2 linked regions of the Coturnix japonica genome follow. The main gene of each other region encodes a partner of the protein of the gene in region 2 in a complex. Links are inferred from orthologs where the notes say so. Each region holds a gene or a part of one and is shown on either strand. Other genes may lie near its edges.

Region 1 (8,947 bases), on a different chromosome or scaffold from region 2:
AACAAAAGTGCCTTAAGAAAAGGATTTAGTTCATGGATTAATAACTGGTTAACATGGGAATAAGCAAGTTGCAGGGGAAGGGATGTTATAACAAAAATCTGTGTTAGCACATTTCAGTGTGATCCTAATTTCTCTACAGAGAAAAGTTAATTGTTAAGTGAAAAACTGATGGCTATCCAAGGTTTGGTTTAATCTAAAGATAACTGCACAGAGTTGCAGAAACATTTAATTGACTTGCCAATTGAACTGGCCTATAAGATTGGATGTCAACAAAGTGCAAAGCAATTAGAGGAAGAAAATCACAATCAGCTCTGGTCTGGCTGCTGCCGTGGGGGAAAAGCCATGAGTCATGGCTAGTTCTTTGAAATGCAGCCAGCTTAGTCAGAGTTCAAGAGCATTTTACAGTCTGTCAAATAAAGCAAAAAGAGGCAAAGAATTAAACAAGGATATTTGGAATTCATTGCATCCCTGTTGGCCCTGTTTTATATGTACGTTTTAGAACCAGAAGGATACAGAAAGGAGAGAAAAAAAGGAATACTGAAATGATCAGGCAGCTTCCATACAAATGTGGCATATAGTCCAGGATTCTGACCCATAGGGGAATTAAAACCAATAAATAAAAAAGCAGGGACTCCATGGCATACTACAAGAGAAGGGTGTAGAAAAAGAATAGGAAACCTTGTATGGCCCTACTCAATTTCAAGGAATAACTGCCTTGTCAGTGCAGCTCTCATCAGGCAGGTTTAAAGCAAGCTTATATATTTTTTTTTCTCACAGCACAGTTTGCAGTATGTAAGCTACAGCACAGGCTGAATAACAAGCTGCAAACAGGACTACTCTTTGAGTTTGTAATCCACAGATGTTTAATACAATGGTTGAGAGGCAGCTTCCAGCCCTCAGTTCATTGCCATATGGATCATGCATTAGATGGTACATCTAGGCCTCAACTACTGTTGGCTGGTCAAAATCACTTACATGATTTCAGCCCATAGCAAATTACCCTGACACTGCAGGGGAAATTGTGCCAATGCACAAACTTAATTAGCTATGTCCATAATTTAAATTGGAACAGCAGTGTGTGTTATCTTCTACAAAGTTAAGATAAAGGTATACAACCCTTAGCATCATTAATGGAGTGACCGCTATCCTTGTTTTACAAAGATAACTTGGTGCATACATGCTACATTTATCTCATGTTAGTGCTCTCTAATAGCAGGAACAGGTAATGCAGTATTCCACTCTTTAAATCATACAAAAGCTGATGAACTTTGAAGTACTTCAGCACCATGCAAATATAAGAGCTCTGCTGCTCTTTGCTTGCATTAGGTTGTGGACTGAATGACTCCCCTGTGGGGCTTGCTGCATATATTTTGGAGAAATTCTCTACGTGGACAGATAAATCATTCCTGAAGAAAGACGATGGAGGCTTGGAAAGGTAAGAAAGCAAATGTCATCCTGTGAGAAAACTTGTAAAACAACCACCTGATGATAACTGATGAGGAGATAGACAAAAGGCTGGCCAGTGCAAGCTGAATTTTAAGGATGAAAGATTACAAGTAGGTAAGTAGGAGTTTAAGCGTATAGAGGGCTGCCTGCAAGCTACTGCTCTGCTTTGGGCACGTGAATGTAAATTGTTTTGCTGCTTGAAAATGAGTAGAGAACCAGAGGACCAATGGCTTATCAGAGCATAGGCCTAATAAAGTATGTTGAGAAACAGCTCACAGTTCTATTGAATCTTTTTTTCTCACACTAGCAAGTACTCTCTGGATGACCTTTTGACCAACGTGATGATTTACTGGGTGACAGCATCTATTGTGCCCTCAATGCGCTACTACAAGGAGAACTTTGCCCGGGACTTTATGGCTGATGCCAGGTAACAAAGTGGCAAGATGGGTGCTGAAACAAGATTAAATTAGACTTACCAGTATAAGCATTCAGATCACTTGCAAATTTAACCTATACTAGGAAAAAAATAAAAGGCAAGCTTTTTTTTGTTATCTTCAATTGATATAGTTAAGGGATGCTTTTCTTTTAAACCTGTGATTCACACAAGTTGGTTTGTTGCCAAAACAATGCAGAACATTTAACAGAGCTAATTCAGATCTGTGTTCAAAATACAGCAGGTCCATAGACTTACTGGACAAACAACTGTAATCCATGGCTTTGTTCACTAAGAACAAACCAGAAAATCACAAGCATTTTGAACAGGTTTAAACAGGAAGGAGATGATTTACAGGTGAATAAACCATGAGCTACAGCTGTTAAGCAAAAACTGTAGAAGCAGTAAGTGATTTTTTTCCAAGGAAACAAGCTTCCAGGAGAGCAGAACTTGAAACCAAACACCTTTAACAGCTGCTAGCTTTGAGATGACTGCAGGAGAGGGTGACCAGGAAGCAAAACTCAGCAAGTGACTGATCTTAGCAAAAGAAAGTCATGTTCTCTGTAGACTGACAGAACCAGTTCACCTTCCCTCTCAATAGGGGTTATACTGGTACCAGGAATTCTAAAGCAAACATGAGTTAGCTCACTTTGGAGTTTGGCACAGAGGTGTGGCTTCAACACATTTCAATACTGAACTCTGCACAAAGGGGACTTCATTTCGTGCATCTTTAGATATAACACTTCTGAATTCAAGGAGATCCAAACACCAGTGGAGCTCCTCAGCAGAGTACAAACTATGAGAAGAGTTGCTGTGGTGAAGTTGCTTCAACTCATGTGACAGCTGTGAGTCAGAAGGTTTTTAAATGACTTTGAGAAGTTCTTCTTGAAAATACTGTTAATCAATGTCTTTTTAGGGTTGGAGTTTACGTTCCAACAGCTGTTGCGGCTTTTCCCCAGGAGATAGCACATACACCACAGGTCTGGGCAAAGAAGACCTTCAAGAACATCGTCCAGTACTCTTACATGCCACGTGGAGGACATTTTGCTGCCTTTGAGGAACCAAAGCTGCTGGCACAAGACATCATCCGCTTTGTGAGAAAGGTGGAGCGGCTATGAACCTGAATTTAGATACATGTATAGAGTGGAAGCAAGTTGTTCTGCCACACACAGAAGCCTTACTTTAAGGGATTAAATAAACTCAATACGATCACAACACAGAAGCCATTTTATTTTGATAATGATGATGATAACTATTAAACTTGTTTAACTCTAAAGCTCTTCATATGAAAAAAAGCATCTTGTCTTCTATTCCTGGCACCGTATCACTGCTGCATTCATAATTCAAGTATAATTGAATATGTAAACAACTTAATGCAGTTACATTGCACTCATCTGGAGGAGATAGAAAGGAATTGGCCCCTTGTTCCTTCTTCAAATACTGAAACTTTAGCATACTTAAATAGACACTTCAAGCAGCTTTGGTGGAAATGTAAAGGGCTTAGATGTCCTGAGGATATCAAACACTCCTATGGAATCATTTGAGTTACACTTCATTCAAGAGACCTGTGATTATACTCTCAAGTGAGCAGCTGCACATAAGGCAGCTCTCCTTATTCCAGCAGTCCTTAGAGCTAGTTTTAGCACTTACTAGCTGTCAATGGATAACAAGGCAAAAATGCACCTGTAGTGTTCTTTAAAAAAACTGATTTCCTTCCAGTTTTACAATCTTATTCACTGCCAAAATGTCAGAAAAGCTTAAAATATGCACTGAGTGCAGAGGGTTAACTCACCCTTTAACAACCTCCTTTCAAATGATTTTTATCACCCCATCAAACAGCTTTTGTTAGCACCTAGTAAGCAACCTTACTACCAACAGCTTAGAGATTCTCTTCTTATGGATGGAGCTGTTTAACTCATTACACGGCAGAGACATATCCAGATGACTCAAGACAACTCCAGCAGATATCTGGTTCTGGCATTTGTTTCTCCTCCCTGCCCCAAAAGCAAATAAGACACTTTTATTTTCTGTTAAGTGAGAATAAGCTTTAACATTGAGGCAGGAGTCCTAACTTCATAGGAAGGAGAGAATAAACTGCTTGCTCCTAACTTTAATCACATATCAATCTGATTGTTAGGTCTGATGGGCTAAAAACTAGTAAAGAAATAGGCAGATGTGCTCCCTTGCCTTCACAGGACCACTCAGCCTCATTTCATCACCAATATAAGACACAGTGTTAGGTATGAAGTCTCCCAGTTGCTAAAGGGCACCATGCTGGATTCCTAACAATCTGAAACAATGTTATGGGAAGAAATATATCATCTACTAGATGGGCAAGCACTTGAGTACTCAAACCTGAGTAGGCTGCAGGAAAAGGTCTTTTTTCACATCAGTGAGGTAAAGACTGGTTATGGCCTTCACAGTAATGGCCAGCTATGTTAATAATCATATATGTTATCTTGTCCCAAATGATCATAAAATGCAGTAATCATTAACAGAAATGGCTGCAGTAAAACTCAGGAGAGTAAAACACAGAAGGACTGTACCCGATATTTGTCAGTTCAGCAAGCATGTCACAGGGAAGTTTTTACACCCAATATATCAATTAATCTCCTTAAGGAATCACTATATCTGTATGCAACTGTGCCTTAAAGGGCATTTGCTTTCAATGACAAGTCAGGAGGTGAACATGGAAGAAGGTGGTCCAGGAAGGCAACAGATGTCCTAGAGAAGAGATCCAGAGAGACAAGAGTGTGCCATTATATTTGATAGGATTATTGCCTAAAGCAGCACCAAAAAATATTCAATATCCCATTAAAGTTCTATAGAGCGCAGATCATTCATGGAAGCCCTTGAGCGTCACTGGTGCTTGAAACCATATGTAGTCCTCCCAAGCAGAAGTCAGAGTCTGAGGAGCTGAGGCACTTGTATCAACGTCTCCATCACAGGACAAATTAATAGTCAGTTTCCTTCCTCGGGTTGGCACTTTGTAGTTGAGCTTGGGCCGGAACCATTCCGCACCACAATTGCGATGCCCTTGGAGCATAACAACAGTGCCCGTGACGGGAAGAGCTTTGAGTTCACTGAAGACATCTGCAATGAAGAGCGAGTGAAAAAGCTTACGTACGCAGGATGTGGTTTTCAGGCTTTTCTCAGCGCTGCCCACACAGATCCCCTCCAAGTTGAGCTCGTAAAGCTCCTTGGGGCTCACAGCATTGCCACCGAGCAGAATAAGAACACGGGGAACCAGCGTCAAGCTGAACATCACTTCCAACTGTTGGAACACTCCCTCCAGCTCCACCAGCACCTGCTGGCACTTCTTGCTTGCCAGGCCCACAGAGGACGGCTTCTTGATCACATCTCCATCCTGCAAACCAGAACAAAAGAGACATTAATACAAGTAAAAAAGATTGGAGAGGGTCCTGATTCACTCTTCATAAAGTATGGTGCATCCCCTCCTCCATCCACGATGGAGCAACGTGCAGAAGGCAACATTTGAGCTTGGAGCCTACAGGTTTCTAGAAGGGGACACGTTGGACAACGAGTGAAGGCGCTGCAATTGCGGCTTTTAAACGCCCCCCCCCCCCCCAAGGCAATGCCGCCCCCCACCTGCGCGGCCCGCTGGCAGAAGTATGCGAGCTGCTCGTAGGGCAGCGGGAGCTGCTGCCGCTGGTGCAGGACGTGCTTCAGCAGCTCGCAGGCGAAGCGGCAGCAGCTCTCTCGGCTCACGGAGCCCGGGAACACCACGGACACGGCGGGGCTCAGAGCCGTCGGTGCGCTCCGCCGGGACCTCCTCCCAACGCGGCCGCGCTCCGGGGCTGGCGGCGTCTCCGCCGTGAGGAGCGGGGAGGGCGGACTACACGGAGCCGCCGCAGCCGCCACACCGGGCGACCGCGTCCCTCCCGGCGCGGCCATTTTGTGAGCGGCGCTGTCCGCCCGCTGCAATTTGAATGGCCGCCGCCGCGGGGCACCATGGGAGCGGGGGAGCGACCACTGCGCGGCTTCCGGAGAGCGGGCGCCATGTTGGATGGGGGGAGGGCGCTAGGAGCCAGCCCTGCGCAGCAGAACAGCAGAAGAGCGCCCCCCAGCGGCCGGGACAGCGGGGCTGTGCCCTGTCCCACAGCCCGCCCGCAGCGCTGCGGGGAGGGGGCACGGCGGTGATGGGGGCCGGCCCTGCACAACTCCCCGCCTCACATCGCCCCGGGCGCTGTTGGGCAGGAGCAGCAGCGCCGCAGCGAGGAGGAGGAGGAGGAGGAGGAGGAGGAGGCGGGCACCCGGCCGGGGTGGAGGGGGAGCGGCCGTGTTTGGAAACAACGTGTCCGCGGCCCCATTGGGCGCTGCCCGCCACGGGCCTCCCACAGCGTGTTGGCAGACACGGACACGGCGGCGCCGTGCCCCGGGTGCGGGGTGAATAGCGGGGTGCTGCTGGCACGGCACATGGGGGCCGAGCCCGGCGCTGTCGTTGTGAGCCCCGTCGGAAGGAGCTGCGGTGTCTGCGTGAATTGTCACGTACGTGGTGCCGTTTCTCCGCCTTTACTGGGTAGTTTTGCTGCCAGACATGTTGTAAAGCGCCCCGGCTTCCCGCCCCCGGTGCCAATATCCGTGTGCTGGAGCGCCCCGTCCCGTAACGGAGAGCACCGGGGCACCCCGAGCTCCATGGCCGCCAGGGGGCGCCGCCCGCACGGGACTTCAACTCCCATCCGCCCTTGCGAAGGGAACCCATAGAGGACGTTGCGGGTAGCGCCGCGGGGCACGTCGGGAGCAGCAGTCCCGAGAGGGGCGCGGCGCGGTGCGTGCTGGGAATCGTAGGCGGGTGGCGCCGTGGACTCCGTTTCCCGTGGTGCCTTGCGGCGGCTCGCTGACGGCGGGGGCCGGGGCGGAGGGGAGCCCGGGCGGGGAGCGGGGACAGCGGGAACGGCGGCGGGCGGCGGGGCCTCAGCGGCCGCCATGGATCCGCGGGTGTCGGAGCTGTTCGGGGGCTGCTGCCGGCCCAACGGAGCCGCGTTGCGAGGACGCGGAGGGGCCGCGCCCGGCGGCGGCGGCGGCGGCGGCGGCGGCTCGAAGGCGAAGAAGAAGAACGGGCGGAGCCGGGGGGGCAAGGCCAACAACCCGCCGTACCTGCCGCCTGAGGTGACACGGCGGGGGGCGACACGGGGCCTGTCAGCGCCGCACGACGGGATGGACGGGACGGGGGGGCGGCTTTGTGCGCCGCGGGGCCGGGGTGGGAATGAGGGGGAGCTCGGGGCAGCGCTGCGGGGGATCCCCGGCTCCGGGATACAGAACGGAGCTCGGCACGGCACGGTACCGGCACGGCTCGGGGAGGCGGTGTTGTCGTACGCCGGGATGCGGCGGGTGCCGGCGGGCTCGGAGGGAGCGATCTCGGTGATGGTATTTGCCTCTTGCAGCTGGAAAAGCTGCTGGTGGTACTTGAGGGGTGTGTGGGTCAGTGCAGGTTGGTTGGCACAGCTGTGAGCAAACTGGGCGGAGAGCATTAATACATTGTCCCGCAGAACACTGCTCAGCACTGCTGGCCGAGCTCTCTGTAAGTTATCGCAGTCTGTGCCGGGAAGGGGCATTCCCCACACCGGGCTATAGCGAGGAAGGAGCTCAGCTCGGCTGTGTGAGATCCTGTCGGTGGGCAGGATTGTCCCCTGCAGCTGCAGTTCAGTTTTGCTTCCCTTCAGCTGGAGGCTGCACGGCCCCTGTGGTTTCAGCACGGCTTCCTGTCCTTGGCCGCCCCAGTCTAGTGTGTTGCTTTCCTCTAGGCTCAGCTGCCTCAGAACAGACCGACCCCCTTGTTTAGAGGACAGCACAGAATGTGAACGCAATATTTTTCTTAAATAGCAAAAGAGTAAAACCTCCTGCACATAGCCTTCCCTCGCTGCATAGCTCTGCTTCCCAAGTGCCGAGCTGGCAGCTTGGAACTTCCCTCTGTTGGCCTTCCGCCACCATAAGCTCCACTGTGGTTAGAAGCTCAGCTAGAAGGCAGGGAGAGGACTGTTGCCTCTCTTGACACGCAAATTGGTGTCCAGAGGTAAAGCAAGTGCTTAGAGTTGGCAGCTCAACTTAGTCTGCCAGAGTACGTGGCTTCTTAAAGGCTCCTTAGACCAAATCAGTGCTGAAGTTACTTCAGTTTAGACTATACGTTCTCTTTGGAAGCTGGAGCCTGTTGTGGTCGATGACTCTATGGGCCTTTCTGGTTTAGGCTCTAAAACAACTTGGTGTGCACTGAGTGGACAGAAGGTTGGGATGGTGTGCTCTGCAGTGTGGGAAGTGGCTCTTTTGAGCCTGGAACTCTGTGTGACTGGCCCTGTTTTTTGTGGACAAGTTAAACAAACAAGAAGGTGGCAGCGCTACCCTTCTGTGTTATATTCTACTTTTATCCCTTGTTTTTCGTTATATGTGATGTAAACAGCAAAAAGAAACCTCAAGTACGTTCTAGTTGAGTGTGGGAATGAACAGCAGAATAGACTGTAATCTAACAATAAATTTCTGCAGTTTTCCCTCTCTGAAATAGCCAATGCAAGCAGTAGAGAGTATCTTTTCAGCTGATGCCTATAGAAATCCCTGCTGGCACAGCATCTAACCATTCTGTTTTGTTTTGTTCTCTGACCAGGCAGAAGATGGTAACATCGAGTACAAGGTGAGCCTTTTGTGGGGGTAGGAGGGTTTCTTCGCAGAGTTGTCTCACAACAAATAACTCCAGGAAAGACAGTGTGTGGGGAACGTGCCCATGTGGACAGAAAGACAGACACTGTACTAAGGAAGGAACAGTCAGTCATCTTCTGAGTGCCCAGAGATACCCAGTGTCTGAGCTGGAAGAGTTTGAGCTCATATTGACAGCTGTAGGTGTCCCTGATAATCATTTATCACTCGGTTTGTGGCTGTTCTGCTAATCACGCTTGGCTCATGTATCACAAATAGGTCCCATGGTGCTGTTACCCCCCAGCAGGCAGAGTACAGACCCTTTGGGAAGGTGCAGAAATGCTCTGCTGCCATATGCACGCATCCCTGTGAAACACTCTCTTAGCATTCCCATGGTTTCTATTTAGATGCTAACATGGGGTG
Region 2 (8,955 bases):
TTGGTGCTAGTGGGCTATTCCAAATCCATTGATTTTTGGATTGCTGGGAAAAATGTGTTCAAATGACTGGTAATTTTTTTCTTTCTTTCTTTTCTGTTCTGCAGTCTCTGCAAAAACACCAGGACTTAGAACCTGCTCTTTTTCACATGTAATTTTCATGGACCTGGGCTCTCTACAATGATATACTACATCTCTTGTCTATTGCTACCTTTAAAAAAGAAGGTAAAGAAAGCCAACAAAATCCAGGTGATGAAGCTGCACTCCGGGCTGGTCCTTGAGAAAGAAACTTTATTTGGTGCAAAAAACGAAATGACTTGAACTTTCTGGAGCAATCTGATTTTTTTTTAAGGCGTTGGATTTTTTATCTTTGTTTTCAGTACCTTTTACTGCTGGCACTGTACCAGTCCACCCTCTCACCTTTGCTATGAAGCACGCGTTGGCATTCTCTGATGTAAATTTGTTACAAGGGAACAGCAACCATTGCTTTGATCCAGTCCTCCCCAAGGGAAGTGCTTAAAATTGCACTTTACTGTTTAAAGCGCACCTACTTCTAGGTGTAAGCAGGTAGTGCAGTCAGCTGCTTAACAACACCACTGACAGGCAGAGGGAAGTACTAGGCTTATTCCTCTGTTAAATACAGTCTAGCTGCAGTATGATTTGTCTTACTGGTTTATATAGTGTCTTTCTAATATTCTAAAATGGGACTGCTGTGGGGATGGATATTTCCTGGTAGGAAAGCCCATTATTTACACTCTGCAGCAATATTACAAAATCAATAGTTTTAAAATAAACTCTTTTTAAATGATAGTATTGTACCACTCGTGTATCAGTCAAACCATAAGTGCTTAAGTACTAAGTAACTCCAGTGTGACTGTTGGGAATGCTGAAAGCAGTGTATGCTAGTGTAAATTTTTTTTATGGAGCTTCTTCAGCTGGCCTGTTGTCTGATACTAATTTAGAAGGCAACGCTGTGCTTAATGATTATGGGGAATTAAGGCTCTTCACACTGGAGAAGGCTCCAGGGGGGGGACCTGATAGCAGCCTTCTAGTACCTAAAGGGGGCCTGCAGGAAAGAGGGGGAATTACTTTTTATAAGGGCATGTAGTGACAAGACAAGAGGAAATGGCTTTAAGATGTAAAAGGGTAATATTAAACTAAATATTGGGAAGAGACTCTTCACTGTGTGGGCGGTGAGACACTGGAACAGGTTGCCCTGTGAGGTTGTAAATGCCTCCTCCCTGGAAGGGAGCTGGGACAGGCTTTAAGCAACCTGATCGAGATGTAGGTGTCCCTGCCTGTAGCAGGGGTTGAAACCAGGTGATCTTACAGGACCATTCCGCAAAATTGATAGAGTCATCACTAATCATCCACAAACAGTATTAGGCACGAGTGGGGACAAACTACAATTAATGAATAGTTTCATGGATTTCACGTTGACAAAAGCACTTGATTTGTGACTGAGGTACTTGCGGCATTAGCCTGAACTGCTGCTATACAGAATTCTAACATCTAAAATACAAATTCCCACATTCTGTGACTAGGAGAACTCTATACAGTTTCAAGGTTTATTCCATAAAACAAGAATACAGACATAGAAAATGCTGTGCAGCTGCTGAAGAAGGACAAGACACACTGATGCAGAACAGCACCCTCTCCAGAACTGCAGTCTCATGTTCTTCAAAATGCTGTGTTTCATCTGTTCGGGCCTTTTCCTGCTCATCAGCTGCTTTTATGGTAAAAACTTTAGAATTAATCTTGGGATTAGATATGGATTATTTCTGGTCATGAAATCCAGACCTTGCATGAAAAACAGGCCTAATACTGTCATGAACACCTCAGAGCTCTTCAAACAGTGCCACCTTAATCTAGTGTTACACCACATTATCAGGCACAATACTGCACATTCAGCAAGAGCAATCATGTGTTCACAACATAGCTGCTCTATGAACAGACACTATACAAGAGGACAGGATATGTACAAGAAACAGTTTTAAGGAAAAGAATCCTTTTTGTAAGCCACCGTGCTGTTGACTTTATGGATCGTGGTAGTGAAGGAACGAAGACGAACCTCTTCTGAATTGGCAATGAATTGTGGTCCTGACTCTTCCCACTTTTCTGGCACTACCAAATCTTTATCTGTGTAAATCAGCAAGTCAAAGGCACCTGTAAGCAGGTGGGAAAAAGTTAATGCTACACACATAGGAATGATACCATAATTGAAGTTAAAACGCATGGAGACATGCAAGAAGGTTATCAGTAGTTATGGCATCTATAGAAAAAGAAATGGCAGTTAAAGGAATGAAAACAAATACTAGTTATCATTCCTGTAGTCGCAATATTTATGACAGCTGTAGGTCCTCAGATACACCAAGTTTCTTCAAGCTACTTAAATCACCTTGAATTGCACCTTTTGGGGAAAAAACGAGTTTAAGAGTTTAACTTCCAATGAAGTTGCTCCAAGTGCTTGATTGAAAGAGAGCACAGTATTTACAGTAGCAGTTCTTTTTCAGTTTGTTGTACAAGAAGCAGTACAGGACAATACTTAGAGTACTTTATCTGATGCTGCTTCTATACTGTACATAGCTGAGACTGTCTTGGTCTAACCAAACATATACCCAGAAATGCAATACATGACACTTCAAATAATAATAATAAAAACAGAATAGTGGAAAAGATTTTCTACAATCAAATGCTAGTTCAGGCTTTCTGAAAGAAGTGTCATTTCTTTCGGAGAAGTTACAAATACTCACAGGCAGTTTCCAGGAGAGGCAGAAAAGTTACCGTGGCAGTGATTTGTCTGATAACAGATCGAATTTCATCCTGAATGGCTTTCTGAGATTTGTCTCGGGGTGCGCTGGAAAAATGAGAAAACTCTTTAAGAAAACAACTTGCACCTCCAATACTGACAGCTTTCTTTAAACACAGTTCTTGCTGCACTGCTGTGGGGTATGTTTGCTGTATGGTTATGCAGAAGCATTCTTTCAAGCCTTAGGCTCACAAAACTGTAACTTTCAATTTGTTGTTTGTGAAACCTCGCAGTGTTTTTAAGGACATATTTGCTGTCTGGGTTGGGTGAGAGTTTTGGCAAAACAGCAGAAGAGCAGTAATACAGGACTTTGTTCAGTTGCAGATTACAAAACATTTTGATAACTGAATGATGGAATCATTTGAGTTGGAAGGGACCTCTAATTGTTATGTATTCCAACTCTCCTGCAATAAACAGTCACCTACAGATCCACAAGATTGCTCAGTCCTGCCAGCCTGACCTTGAGTGGCTCCAAGGATGGGGAATCTACTACTACTCTGGATGAACTGTGCCAGTGCCTCACCACTCTTATTGTAAAAAAAGAAACAAACAAACAAAAACAAGCCAAAAAACTTATTTCCTCCTTATATCCAATCTAAACCTCACTTCTTTTAGCGAAACACTTCACTCTTATCACACCCTGTGCCCTGACAAGTCTGTCAGCTTCTTTCACATAGCCCCCCCTCAAAATACTGAAAGGCTGCTCTCTGGTCTCCCCTAAGCCTTCCCCAGGCTAAACACCTCAGCTCTCTCAGACTATCCTCACAGGAGAGTTGTTCTGTCCCTGGGACCATTTTTGTGGCCCTCCTCTGGACACACTCCAACAGCTCCATGTCTCTCCTGTACTGAGAATTCTCAATCTGGATGCAGTACTCCAGGTGATGGCTCACCAGCGCAGAGCATACAGGCAGGATAACGTCCCTTACCCTGCTGACCATGCACAATTCTTTGGATGTGGCCCTGGATACAGTTGGCTTTCTGGGCTGTTAGGTCATATCCCTACTCAGGGATATGATTTAGTGTAGGGTTTTTAGAGTCAGGGTACTGGTTAGGCTGCGGTTGGACTTGATGATGTTCAAGGTCTTTTCCAACCTGGGTAATTCTATGATTTCAGGCTTCATGTCCAGCTTGCCACCAAGACCTTTTCAGCAGGGTTGTGCGCCATTCTTATGTCCCCCAGATTGTACTGAAAGCAGGGGTTGCCCCAACCCAGGTATAATACCTTGCTCTTAGCTTTGTGGAATCACATGAAGCTCACTTGGGCCCACTGCTCAGCCTGTTCAGGTCCCCCTGGATTGCATCCAGTCCCTGGAGCACATCAATGGCACCCACAGCTTTATTTGGTAACGTCAGATAGCTCTTAGGTTACAGAGGTAGCACTACCATACTTGGTCTTTCCCTTGTGTCTCCCAACAGGGAGAAGCAGGCACAGAAACGCTGTCACTCACCTTTCACCCTTGGCGCTCTTGTCACATTCAATGTCAAACTGCCACCGCTCCAGTACCTCATTGTTCTCAATGCTGGAGATGACCACCACCAGGCGCTGCACGGTGCACTTATAAAGCCACTCTGGAAGAGGCCGCAGCATTTACTACGGCTGTATGAGAAAAAGGGGAAGGAGAAAAGGGGACGGGAAGCGGGGGGGGGCAGGTCTCACCTTTCATCTGCTCCACCACGTTGTTGAGGTAGTTCTTCAGCTCGGGGTCGGTGGTGACGAGCAGGGTAAGGCCGTACTTCTGGACGCGGGTGAAGGTCTCAGGGGGGTAGATGCCCCGCTGGTACAGGATGCTGTTGATGCCATAAGCTGCGCGCACAAAGCGGGGAGGCTTCTGTAAGGGGGCCACCCCTCCCGCCCTACAGGCGGCCATGTCGGCCGCGGCATTAGAGCCAGCCGCCCGCCCGCCTTTTTCCCCCCAACCCGCCCCCGTCTCCCCGCACCCCTGGGCGGCCCGCAGCCCCTTACAGAAAAACTCGGCGACGATCTCCGCGCTGCCCCGCAGGGTGATTCCCTGCTGCTCGCGGCCCAGCTGCGCGGCCATGGCGGTGCCCGCCGCCCGCTTCAAATCACGCCCCGCCCCTTCCGGCCGACTGCGAGGGCTGAGCAGGCGGGATGCCGTGCTGCGCATGCGCGGGGTGCGGCCGTTGGCGGGCGGGGTTTGCGGTGTGTGGGTGCGTCCCGTCAGGTGCCGTTGGGTGCGTGTGTCCTTATGGAGGTGCTGCCTCTTCTCTGGGCTATTTCTGGTTGTGCTCAGTACGAAAGCCGCCCCGCTCAGCGTTTAGCAGTCGGATTGCTGTTAATACCCGCTATTCTCCTTCAGCCCCTGCGCTATTCCCGTCCCAGAGCGCTCTCAGAGCCCTTCCTTTCCCACTCTGGGATTTTCTCGTGCTTTTCTCCCTCCGAGGTTCCCTACGAGCCGCCTCCGCTGCGCCATTGTAGTTAGACCCGGTGGAATAGACAAACCCAGCGCTCATAGAAGCGAAGTGCGGCTCCTCAGCGCTCTGGTGGATTCTTAAGGGTCTCCCGTTGCAGGTAGCTGATCTGCTTCAACACAAATTGGTTTCTCCGTGTTTTGGCAGAGGCGGATGAGGAGCTTTTCCATGTGCTGCTGATGCCTGTAGTTCACATTTAGGGCATGTCCAGCTGCGTGACAAGCAGGAGGCTGTGGGGCTGTCACGGGGAGCAGTGGGGATAGTGCTGTGGGTGAGGGAGCGGTGTGTCTGACAGCCCGCTTCCTGAGCAGCTCGCGGGGACTCGGCAATGCAGATGACAGACTGAGTTATACGTTCTGGCACATCACGAGTTGGCCGTCCTTGCTTTAATTATCTCATGCTAAAGCCTTAATTTTCAGAAGGAATGTGAAATCCCAGTTGCATTTAATTTGGTTCTCTTATGATTCTTTAGTCATTGCTGTGTTTCTCAATTACATTTTGATATGACACACACATATATATATTTATTATTCTCTTTTTGTGGAATTAAACATCCCCTATTTATCTTGGCTTTTCTGCAACATTTAATGATTGCTTCCCCATGGCCATTGTTAATGAACCTGTGACAATCCAGATCACTGCTGCTCCTGCAAATTTTTTAAGGCAACTCTAGTCATGCTCCTGTAGTCATTCAGCAGACAAGAAGAAATAATCCATGTGTAAAGTTCCTTCCCAGGTTTGGGGCTTTTATTTTTGTTCTTGTTTAGTTTTTTAACCCTCGGGTCGTTGTGGACAGGTCTCTCCTGCCAGCAGAATAAAACAGTCTGTAGAATAAAAGTCCTGTTTGTTATAAAAGCCCTCTTATCACATTAACAAATTGTCATATTAAGTCTCAGCAAAATCCAGTTCTTCCTGTGCAGAGGAAGGAAATCTTACTGTGGGTAACAGAGCTCTAGTTCTCCTGTTCTGGTAGATCTCAAGCTCCTTTATTTCCTTCCCCACTTTAGGGGGAGCTTCTCTACTTACTAGCACATAGAACTAGTACTTTAACCTTCATCCCTCTTATTTTCTGCATATTGTTTTGAGTTGCCTTTGGGGGTTTATAATGCTGCCCATCTGAAACTGTCTGTGCCTAATACTGATGGTGAGTGTTGAGCTTGTTTGTTGACTTTTTGCTCCCTTTCTCCCTCAGTCCATATTGTGGTATTTGTAGATCCTGTGTTGGATGCTGTCTTAACTCCTGGTGGGCTGAGGCCCTTCTCAATTAGCTGAACTTCCACGGTTTCTAGTGAAATTGCTACTTTTTTATTATATCTGCTTAGTTCTGTGTGCTATGGGAGGGAACGATGTGTGGGTTGTTCCTGGCTAAAGGCTTTTCCTGAACCAGCCCAGCCATTTACAATCTCCGTTTCGTTATGCAAGTGTTAATCCGATGTGAAAACATCATTTAGCATGAATGAAGCTATGTCTTGATAGTGGCCTTCTTGTCTAGTGAAACAGCTTTTGTGAATTTGGGGAGTTTAAAAAGCTACTATTGCGAAACAGCATTCAGTGTTCTGATGGTTTTATCTCTAAGCTACCAGGAGATGGCACCAGGCACATGAATTATTTGCATCCTTTCAGTTTAGTCTTGAACTGCAGCGAGTTTGTTTTACCGAGTACTTGAGTTTAGACGAATTTTAGATGCATTTCTTTGCCAGTTCTTAAAACGTGTTCCAGAATGAAGGAGATACTTGGTCTGAAATCAGAAAATAAAGTTCGTGATAGAAATCAACTGTATGAAGATTTGTTTATTTTTTTTTAACTCTGTATGCTTATTTTCCTGCCTGCACCCTGCAAGTTGTAGGTAAATTTTCTTCCTCTGAACTAAATATTTTTGATTATAGAGGCTGCTTTTCTAAGAGATGTAAAAAGTGTGTGCACTGAAGTCTTTTTGTCTATGCATGGGTGTTTCCCATTGTAATATCATTTTAATATCGTTATGTCTGGTACATGTGGCACATTTCATACATAAAGTGAGAGCTTCTTCCACGGTATATCAGTCTTGTTCTGAACACCGAGAGCTAGCGCATATGTACACATATTGGCACTGACAAGCCTTTGAGAAGCCAGGGGGCACATTAATACATTGTGGGTATAGTTCTAATTGTATATAAGTATTCTTTATAAATGCAAACACTGGTATTTTTATAAGACTTTTTTCATTGACTGTGGGGAAAAATCAAGCGTATTTGTGGCACAATGAAAGTTTTTTCTCATGGTAAGGCATTTTGTGAAGGTGCACCTTCATTGATTGTATGAGCATGTCTATAGAATCATGCATATTTATTCAGCAGTTAACATGGGGCATTAATGCGTGTCATTTCTTTCTAGTTTAGTTTCTATAATTTATGGAATATGAACTGTATACATAAGCTGTCACTTTTGTTTACATAATAATTCTTTCAACGTTTCTCTGCTTTGGAGGAAGCAGATATCTACTACCGCATAGGTGTTGGTACTTGTATTTGAAATGATAACATAGATTGACAGTACCAAAACATCTTTGAATGGAGCTCCTTATCTAACACTGGATGAAAAATAACTGTTTTGATTTACCTTTTGCTGTTGTTACGCTAAAGCCAACTTAATTGATGAACAATTAATCTGAAGGGTTTTGGTTTAAGACAGGAATCCCGTTACAGAATCAGTAAAATCAGGACTTAAATGGGCCTTTCATGCTTTGAAAACTTTGTAGTGCTCAGTGATGTCACGGTAATAGGTGATATGAAAACCATTGAATCCAGCTCTAAGTCCCCAGTGAAACACCTGAAGGTTGATGATTAGAAAGATGAATGTTAATCCAGTTTGTGTCAAGCCCCTGTCATATCTGAAGTTCTCGTATTAATAAATTAATGGAAAATGATACAGTTCTTAGGTAGTTTAGACTTATTAAGAGATATACCACAGTTTAAATTAAAAACAGGTCTTTTCTAAGTAACAGGCTGAACAGACACATCAGCAGAGAGTTAGACTGTCGTGACATTAAGCACTGAGGTACAAAAGAATATTGTAGGTGGGTTAGCAGGGTTGAATGTACCATGATAGTGTCAGAAAGGCTTTTCATAGAGTATTGTTGCACAATTACAATGACTTTGATGATTTGGATGTTGTGTTGAGGGACATGGTTTAGTGAGAGCTGTTGGTAATAGGTGAATGGTTGGACTGGATGCTCTATTAGGTCTTTTCCAACCTTGGTGATTCTATGATTCTATAGTTGTTATTTGTGCTTGCTTTTTGTTGTGTCTTTTCTGATACATAACAAAGATGGACTTGTTTGAGTAATTGTGTCTTGAGAACTGCCTCAGAATTATGATGTCTAGAGAGACAAATAAATTGTGAAACATAGTGTTTGCATTAGAAATATGTGAAGCAAAAAAAATCCCACCATGAATCATTCCTTCATTTCCTCTTGAAAAGTAAACTTTCTGCATTTTTTCTTCATTTGCATCCCCATGCATGTTAGGAATCCCATCGTCAGAATGGTGATTCTTTATCAGAACAGGCATGCGAATTTTTCTTATAATTACTGAACAGCTTAAGAAAATATGAGAGAGTGACTTTCTAAGTAAGGCATCTGTTCCTCTATATAAGGAAGAATACTTTAGTAAATGTAATAGGACTTGTTGGAACTATACTTTGAACTTCAAAGTATACTATACCTCACCAGCCATCTTCAT

Evidence for each region.
Region 1: the proteins of MAD2L1 (region 2) and MAD2L1BP are in contact, whole or in part, in a crystal structure (PDB 2QYF), measured with the Homo sapiens proteins. The link is inferred for Coturnix japonica from reciprocal best matches to the Homo sapiens genes MAD2L1 and MAD2L1BP. Residues at the interface, in NP_002349.1 of Homo sapiens: Tyr33, Arg45, Thr52, Leu54, Lys122, Asp126, Glu127, Arg129, Ser130, Arg133, Gln134, Thr136, Ala137, Thr138, Thr140, Phe141, Leu142, Leu144, Glu179, Val181, Arg182, Leu183, Arg184, Tyr199, Asp205; in NP_055443.1 of Homo sapiens: Pro61, His79, Tyr82, Gln83, Gln85, Pro88, Leu89, Pro90, Gln93, His96, Ala185, Leu187, Arg188, Phe191, Arg192, Phe195, Asp198, Ala199, Phe200, Ser201, Glu202, Leu203, Gln204, Ala205.

What each region holds. Positions count from the first base shown.
Region 1 is NC_029518.1:27,746,203-27,755,149, forward strand, and holds MAD2L1BP (MAD2L1-binding protein), read right to left. Parts: upstream 5,839-8,947; 5' UTR 5,795-5,838; coding exon 5,489-5,794; intron 5,247-5,488; coding exon 4,716-5,246; 3' UTR 3,089-4,715; downstream 1-3,088. Other genes in the region: epoxide hydrolase 1-like, read left to right, coding at 1,327-1,435, 1,754-1,873, 2,796-2,997; GTPBP2 (GTP-binding protein 2), read left to right, coding at 6,827-7,009, 8,496-8,522. UniProt on the Homo sapiens protein: May function to silence the spindle checkpoint and allow mitosis to proceed through anaphase by binding MAD2L1 after it has become dissociated from the MAD2L1-CDC20 complex.
Region 2 is NC_029519.1:48,823,349-48,832,303, reverse strand, and holds MAD2L1 (mitotic spindle assembly checkpoint protein MAD2A), read right to left. Parts: upstream 4,908-8,955; 5' UTR 4,846-4,907; coding exon 4,770-4,845; intron 4,611-4,769; coding exon 4,464-4,610; intron 4,376-4,463; coding exon 4,255-4,375; intron 2,855-4,254; coding exon 2,751-2,854; intron 2,164-2,750; coding exon 1,991-2,163; 3' UTR 1,543-1,990; downstream 1-1,542. UniProt on the Homo sapiens protein: Component of the spindle-assembly checkpoint that prevents the onset of anaphase until all chromosomes are properly aligned at the metaphase plate.